2 linked regions of the Nothobranchius furzeri genome follow. The protein of the gene in region 1 purifies or fractionates together with the protein of each later gene. This does not show direct contact. Links are inferred from orthologs where the notes say so. Each region holds a gene or a part of one and is shown on either strand. Other genes may lie near its edges. The genes, in order: serine/threonine-protein kinase 38-like and mob2a.

Region 1 (4,197 bases):
CTCTAACTACATAAAGAGAATTTTCACAAATTGAGGTCCATCATTGCTACCCTGCCTTGACGTTTCTTACCTTCTTTACCCCCCCACACGTAAAATTTCCTAGATCTGCCACTGGTTGCATCAAACAGCCTCCATAGGTCTTTCTGCTACCTATTCTACATCTCTACGGTCTAACTCTAGTTCTGCAGCCACCTGCTGTCTAGAACATTTCATTCAACGTTCCACACGTTAACCACACTGTAAGCTGCTTCTTCTCCCTGCGGCCCGTCTGTATCTGATGCTGAGGTTATTTGGACTGGACTTTTGAATAAGCTCAAAACAAGTCTCTACCAGCAACAACACATTCAACAGCACCTTAAATCATGCTGGAACTTCCCCCAACAGCATAGCGGCTTCAGCAGACGAGGGGATACTGTTCTCTTAAAAAGAAATTAGCGCGCGAGCTAAAAAGACACCAGTGTATGAACTATAAATGAGAAGATGGTAAAGCCGTGATTCAAGCTGTCAACAAAGGTTAAATAAAAGATGGTCCAGAAGTTGCTGAGCATGCAGATATGTTGAACTGGTGTCTAAGTTAGTGAGCTGGTCTGTGATCTACGGCTAAAACAACACAAATGATGCAAAAACAGCCGAGGTAATGCGGTAACGCTCCTTAATATCTGAGCTTTTGACGTCCTAGCTAAATAACTCAGTGATGAGGGTTATGTTGAGACTGAGACGCTGACAGCACAGCATTCAGCACCAGCGGGGCTTAGCGGCCCGACCCTGTCTCCATAAAATGTCTGTAATCAACCCCCCCCCACCCCACCCAGGCGAGGGTGTCAGGCCTTTCCTGCCTTCATGTACGTGGGGATGGTGCCTCGCTGAGTCAGACCCTCGAAGCGTTTGTACGTGTAGTTCAGGAAGACCCAGTCTTTCGATTTAAAGTCGGGTTCCGTCGAGTTGGCTGTTCACACACGCGCAGACAGACACACGCATAAAAGAAATAAATTAGGAATATTTTAAGAGTACGTACCACATCAACAAAGGAACAAAAACGTAACTAAACAATGACACACCAGGCTGAAGGATGTCTGATTCAGGGAAGTCGTCAAAGTTTGACGTGTCGTCGATACTTTTGATTTCAATAGAAATGGCTGCTGGCCGCTCCCTGTGCATAGAGATGAGACTTGTTGAAAATTTGGTTCTAATAAACCTCCTGACTTCTCCTAGACTGTTCTTTTGTACCTGATGTGCTCCCAATCCACCGACTCAAAGAAAGCATGGCTCTTGATCTCCTCCACACTCGCAGCTCCAACTCGGTTCTCCGCATCGGTGCAATACCTTAAAAACAAGAGCGGAACGTTAAAATGAAAAACGGTCAGATCATGTTGAGAATGACCAGATTCAAGCCATTAGCGAAACCAAATATGTTTTTCAGCAGCATCTAGATTTGATTCAAAGCTAGGCAGCAAGCCTAACTAGCCCACAGCTAACAAGCCTAACGGCCCTAGCCTGTAGTTGGATCATTATAAGTAATCCTGTACAGTATTCTCTACAGACATCTTACACTAAAGCAAACACACATTTTACGGCACATTTTTGTATCTTTCCAAAACAACTGAAAAAATCAACAGAAAAGGGATCCAATCTGAATGTTTGATGAGCTACAAGTCTAGGTAGAACCTTAAAATAAGGTCTTTGGCTTTCTCTGAGATGGGAACTTCAGGTGGGAAGACAAGAGTTTCCTTCCAGTTCATAACTTTTCTGTACGTCTCCTGTGGCGTCTCGGAACAGAAGGGAGGATAACCTAGAAAACACAAAACAAATCTCAATATGTAGCTTAGACACCACGCCTTTAAGGTATCTTCAGCCCAAAGGGAAAATCTGTCATTTTGTTGTTTATTTTTACTGGAGGAAAATCATTTCTTCCCCACTCAACTTTAACATCTATACTTAGTACATAATCAAAATAATTATGACATATATACATTTTTATCACTATTTATAAACATAGACCTCATAACAACCAGCTGACCGTAGAAAATACAACAACGGCTCTAAGTAAGTATATTTGGTAGTCAAAGAAAGATTTTGCTCTGCAGGTCTAACACTGGACGGAACAGTTTTGTGTCTTACCAATCACAGTGCTCTACGTTTGTTGGACGGGCTTTGCACCAGAGCTGCGATGGAAAAAAAGACTACAAAAATGGCATCAGCTCAGGAACAGCGCTTGTTTGAAATGGCTTTAGCATCAACTTTGGACGACTGACTCCTACTGCACACTGGAAGCATCAGTGGTGCAGAAGGGCAGCAGAAAGGTTTACTCACGACAATCGCTGCACTCCAGAGCACACATGGTCCCCAGGCTCCTCATAAGACTACAATGGATTCTAGTTGAAGCAATGATGTTCTGCCGCTGATGCTTCCAGTGTGCAGTAGGCTTTAGACTTGGGCTTTTCTTTGAGACAGAGGTACTGAAGTTCTTAATTTCAAAACCGGATGCGGAGGGGCTGACGTTGAGATCGTTGAGGACTACCGGTACCTGGGTGTACACTTGGACTGTAAACTGGACTGGACTAAGAACACCAATGCCATCTTCAAAAAAGGGCAGAGTCGGCTTTTCCTACTGAGGCGGCTCGGGTCCTTCAATGTTGGTAGGAAAATGCTGACCATGTTCTATCACTCGGTGTTGGAGAGCGTTGTGTTCTTTGCAGCTGTGTGCTGGGGCAGTGGGGTGAAGATAGCTGATGCCAACCGGCTGAACAAGCTGATTAGAAGGGCTGGGTCTGTCCTGGGTGTTAGACTGGAGAACCTGGAGGAGGTGTCTGAGAGGAGAATGCTAAAAAAGCTTCTCTCTATCATGAACAACCCCTCCCACCCCATGCACGCCCACATGATGGACCACCAAAGCACACGCAGCAGAAGACTCATTGCCCCGAAATGCAGAACTGACCGCCACAGGAAATCCGAGAGGGTGCTCGCTGCAGAACTACAAAGGCGGAGCTGCACCATAAGGTGGAGCTGCACCAGAGTCAACCCCGCCCATTCACGCAAACTCAGCCTAGCCCACTGACTTCCGTTTTTGTTTTCAACTTTATCGCAAACTGACCTGACCCACATGAATTACGGCTGTTACTAGTTTACAGTCGTTAATGCTATGTTCTGTGCTCCAATTAAACAAGATAAATATAACTTGCTACATGACAAAGTCTGAATATATCCCGAAATAAAAAGGTTTCTCGTAGCGAATATCTGCCCACAGCCGCTCTAACAAAAGTCCTGTACAACAGCATGTACCCTTCCTGTGGGTTCTGGTAGTCCAGTGGCAAGATCGTCTGACTAACGTTTTGCTTTCCCCTCAGCTGATGCTGGTTCGATTCTCGGTGGGGTCGGCAACAATCTATTCAGCCAGCTGAAACATTTAATTTGTTCATATTTTAGTTGTAATGTTCATTTATAGCAAAATATTTATGTCTCTACAAGTTCTTTGAATTTGGTCGTTCCTAAACAGCATTTTAGTTGAAACTCTGCTCACAGATGGACTCACACTGGCTAAATAAACGAATGAATAAATAAAAAAAACACATTAGTCATTATATGTTAAACGGCATACCAATAAATTGTTGTAAACATAGTACTGGCAAGTGTAGCTAGAAATGAGGAAAAGAGATTATAGAATATTTCCACTGCTGGGAGGCGAACCTGCGCAAAACTGCATGTCAACCTGACACCATTACCACTACACCACCACATCTGATAAAAATCAGGTGGCGTTACATTTTATTATGTTATTTGGTGTGTCTTTGTAGATGGGATGTATGATTTTTCTGGCGGTGTCTCAGTAGAAGTCATTTCAGAAATAAATTGTCAGAAAATTCACAGAATATCCAGATTTGAGAACCAAGACCAGACCCACTTTGGGGGAGGAGACCAAATTGAAGCTGAGATGGGAAGAAAATGCATGAATGAGGCCAAAAATGGCTTTGGCGTGTTTCTTATGAGGAAATGACAATATAACATGATTAAAAGTTCCAAAAGTTAGATTTTTAATTATATGGAACCTTTACAAAAACTGTTCAATTAACTTCTCAACTCCCTCCTCAATCTTGCATTTTTTAGCTATAACACCCTCTTTGTTTCCAGAATGCTATCAAGTCTGACAACTGGAAGGAATTGGACTGACTCCGATAGGATGGGCGGGGCTGATTCTGGAAT
Region 2 (4,485 bases), on another chromosome or scaffold:
AGAGTTGCAGAGAAATGTTAGTATGTAAATATATTGCAAATTACTTATTATATGCTTTAATGTAAATTTGATCATTTAAATATATATATTTTATAAAGTTAAAGCAATTTCAGTACACCCTCTTTGTGCAAAACGCCATCAGTTATGCAGGATGCGTAGCATTCCTTATCAACTCATTCGATCACACAGGAGGTTTAAAAATATAGAAGATATATTTCAGTTGATTTGGTATTCAAAAAGAATGATAAATGATCCGCACTTGTATAGCGCCTCTCAGAGTAAGGACTCCAAAGCGCTTTATGTTACAGTGTATCATTCATCCATTCACTCACACATTCACACGCTGGTGGGGATGAGCTACGATGTAGCCACAGCTGGCCTGGGGCGCACTGACAGAGGCGAGGCTGCCGAGCACAGGCGCCACCGGTCCCTCCGACCACCACCAGCAGGCAAGGTGGGTTAAGTGTCTTGCCCAAGGACACAACAGCAGCATTCTCTGTCCGGAGCCAGGATCGAACCTGCAACCCGATTACTGGACAACTCGCTCAACCTGTTGAGCTACTGCTGCCCCGAAACGCTCTCTGTTCCTGCTGCACAACACACACCTCTTCATACCCTAATTTAACCCCCATAAGAGGACACTTTGTTACCTTCATACACTAAATCAACACAATCTCCGTCTCATGTAGCCGCTCGCCTTAAGCCACAAAGAATCCGCCGCAGATCTCAGATCAGGTATTTCTGTTCGGCTTTAGAACGTTGACAATGAGAGGTGACGGAAGAGGAAGTGGGAATGTGTGAACTGAGCAGCCGAGTGAAGAATAAAAGACTGGATCGAGACCATAATTACAGGGGAAAGCTGAAGTTTGGCGACAGAAGTTGCAATTGTCTCATGAGTTGAACTCGGTCAGTTTTTATAACCTTTTGTTCAATTTGTTCCCAAATGCTGTTGTCTGAGCTCCTTGTTGACTATTTAATTAGAGCTTATATTTATCTTTTGCCTCAAACTGTAAAAGTTCTCAAATTATTGCTCCAAAGAAACCTCGGTGTGTGTGTTCACAGATCTGCCTTTAGCTCTCCAACGGGCTGTGTTTGATTCGCCCACTGGTTCCTCAGCCCTTCCTGCCGTGTCTGAACACGCCGTCATAACCGGACTCCAGGGTAGTTTCAGCAGCTCACCTCACAGTTTTAGCATGAACTATAATGGTACACTTATATTTTAGATGTGATTGCATATAAACTAGTGGCTGAGCTTTAGTGTTTGTTTATCCTATTTTTATTTTAAATATGTTTGGTTTTGGTTCTGATTTGTCATCTAAAGTGTTATTCATGGGTTGTTTATATTTTTATTTCTACTTATTGGCTGAATAAAAGTGTGATTTTCAGTCAACCTGTTTCTTACTCATCAGAGGATAAGACCAACTACATGGGCTGACTTCAACGTCACCAAGGCCCGCCCACTTGGTTCAAGCTCCTGCTCTGATTGGGCCAGAGTAAGGGGGGGGGTGGAGCTTCTTTAAGCTCTCCCTCAAAAGTTTTTCTTTCTCCTGTAAAGTGAGTCGGAAGCTTCCCTGAGCCGGAGCTCTGTGTCTTTGTCGGACAGGCCAAATGTAAAAGAGCTGAAGGAGAGAGTCTGACTTATTTTCTTCATGTTTTGAACTATGGTCAGAGATCACGCCTTATTTTCTTTAAAGAAGAAGGACATGCACCCTCAGAAAAATCCTAAAAACACATTAAGTTGCAAAATGGTTCTTCAGGCAGTCGGAAAAGTGCTACGGTAAAACAGTTTTCCCTTGGATCTGTATTTTAAAATAACTTTGATGTAGAGAATTTGAATGTAATACGTCATTTTTATTTTCTCCATTGTCTTAAAACATGACCTAAATATGATTCAGAGTTGTTTATATGTGACGTCTTCCACGAGTTTTCACACGTAGAAGTAAATTACTGTCTGGTGATGATGTCTCCGAGACACTCGTGCGTCCTCGTGTAGACTTTTCAGTCATTTAGGACATTTTCACTTGGAGCTCGGAGTGTTGTTGTTGTTTTTAGGCATTAAAATAACCGTGGCAGCGTTTTTTTACTCTCGTTTGACTGGTATGAAACGAGAGATCCTCCTTAAAACCAGAAGGAAATTGGTCCAGCTTTAACTCCTGAGGGAGCTCGGTGCTAATCATTTCACGTGTGTGTGGAGTGTGTTGTGGTGAAGTTGTCCTTTACCTTATTTTTTTCCAAGCAGCAGCCTACAGGGAGCATACCTTAAAACCTGTTTTGTTCTGCAACACAATGGGAGTGTTGCTGTCGATTGCGGAGGGAATATCATCCTAGCGGACGATAACGAGCATAACTTAAAGTGTTATTGGATTTTGTCGTGTCTGTTGCCAGACCTGAAGCGAGTGGAGACGAGCCTATCCACTCCTGATCAATCAGGAAGTTGAAATTTATTATTGTAAAGACTGCTCAGCCCTTAGGAAATACACTACAGAAGCCCAAGAGGGACAGTTTTTGTGCCGAAGCAGCTGCTTAGTTTGGTAGGAAGTGTCGAGAGTCTGTTTATGAAACTCCTAGCCTGTTTGGAGGCAGGTGTATATATAAAGGTAACTTGCATTAGTACGGCTCCTCTAGCTGGAGGAAAAACCTACACAACCAGATTAAACAAACACCCGTTTAGGTTTTAGAGTAGACTTTATTAATCCCACTGTGGGGAAATTCACTTGTTACAGCAGCACGTTTATCCATCATATTATCTTTTACAGCTAGATTCTCTTCATCTGTCAATAAAAGAGCCAATCGTGTTGGCATTTGCTGCATTGTTGAGCAGCAGTTTTGCACTGTGGCATCGCAGACCCCCGTGCTTGAATACGTGTGTGTTGTGATGCTGATGAGGCTCCATTATGATGCTAGCAGTGGGGAGTTCCTTCTGTACTGTGTTGGCCCTCAGAGTCAATGAATGGGATTAAGCAGGAGATTGGAAGAGGAAGATAAACAAGCCAGAGCTACTGTGGTATTGTGTTGTACTCCTACATGGCTACATTTCTCATTTACTGTATTTTTTTAACCCTCTTAAGGCAAAAATCAAGATTTTAGTTTAGTTTCTGAAACGATTCCTACAGCGACGTGGCCCAGCTGAATGTTCATCTTGTTGCTAGCCGTGTCTCTTTTTAGCCCCCGCTGCTGCTGCGGTTTTGCTCGGGTCTGCTCAGACTGCCATTTCCTCCATTTGTGGTTTTTAGGGGGAAAGAGGCTTTGGATCTTGGAAGAAACAGACGGGTCTGAAACATCCGGCTCACATCAAACCTTTTGTTTCCTACGCTTACTGATGAAAAAAGGGGAACATGTATGCGTCTGGTTTAAACGTCTAATCAGTGTGGTGGAATACTTTTTATTATGGTTTATTTCTTTTTGAGAAGAGGAACAAGTTGAAGCTAACCTCTCCAATCTCGTCATAAAGTTGCTGAGAGAACACAGCGGTTTGTTTTCATCAGCTTTTCACTGTTGGAGATCACATCGACTGCATCCATATGTTAATAGTTATTCTCTCTGCAATACAAACAAACAATTTAGGGAACTGTTGTGCAACTTCTGGCTTGGCAGGAGCCATCGGCTTCGGGGGGGGGGGGGGGGGGGGGTCATTACATGGGGTTATTAAACAGTTGTGTTTTAACATCACAGCAGGAACCAGTAAAAAACAATTGTTTTCATGCAGGAATGCTGGTGGATTCTTAATGGAGATGATGGTGAGTTATGGAAAATCGGCGTGTTTCGAGCACAGCCTCACTGAAGGGCTGATGTTTGTGCCTGAGCGGAGGAAGTGACGGCTGTTTTGTAGTAAATTGTTGTACTTCTGAGAAAGCATTTGAGCTAATTCGTTAGCGTAGCTGTGTGTGAACGAATGACCCGTACTTGTATAGCGCCTCTCAGAGTAAGGACTCCAAAGCGCTTTACACTACAGTGTTTAATTCATCCATTCACATGCACATTCACACACTGATGGTGATGATGAGCCACGATGTAGCCACAGCTGCCCTGGGGCGCACTGACAGAGGCGGTGTGTAATGCGTTCCCTTGCGGCTCCAGGGTTAATTGGAACCAGGTTCTGTTAACGAGACCGGATTGTAGACTGGCTCGTTTTTAGAAGTCTTCTTGGTTCATTTAGCACACAGCCACTAATATTTGCACCAGTCTGAGGCCTAGAAGCAGTTGTCTGTTTGCACAGTCTTGGTGGACGCAGGCGTGCAGAAACAAACACCCAAACCGGACAGAGCTCACCTATTCTCCGTTCCTCCCACGGCGTCTGGTTCAATCAGGTTCGTGACACAGCTGTTGACACCAGCTGGATCGGCCTTGAAAACTGAAAGGATGCTTGAGGCAGTGTCCTCTGTGTGTGTGTGTGTGTGTACGTGCGTGTGCGCGTGTGTGAGTGAAAGAGGAAAGGTAGTAAATGAAGATCGTTGGACAGTGGGGGAGGTTGTTCCTGGGAACAGC

Evidence for each region.
Region 2: the proteins of serine/threonine-protein kinase 38-like (region 1) and mob2a purify together in Homo sapiens (affinity purification with mass spectrometry; 9 studies listed by BioGRID and IntAct, counting the BioPlex papers as one, with this or other methods). This does not show direct contact. The link is inferred for Nothobranchius furzeri from reciprocal best matches to the Homo sapiens genes STK38L and MOB2.

What each region holds. Positions count from the first base shown.
Region 1 is NC_091741.1:59,878,591-59,882,787, reverse strand, and holds the end of serine/threonine-protein kinase 38-like, read right to left. Parts: intron 1,790-4,197; coding exon 1,666-1,789; intron 1,324-1,665; coding exon 1,228-1,323; intron 1,151-1,227; coding exon 1,059-1,150; intron 947-1,058; coding exon 822-946; 3' UTR 750-821; downstream 1-749. UniProt on the Homo sapiens protein: Involved in the regulation of structural processes in differentiating and mature neuronal cells.
Region 2 is NC_091744.1:77,548,168-77,552,652, forward strand, and holds the start of mob2a (MOB kinase activator 2a), read left to right. Parts: upstream 1-1,466; 5' UTR 1,467-1,661; coding exon 1,662-1,777; intron 1,778-4,485. UniProt on the Homo sapiens protein: Stimulates the autophosphorylation and kinase activity of STK38 and STK38L.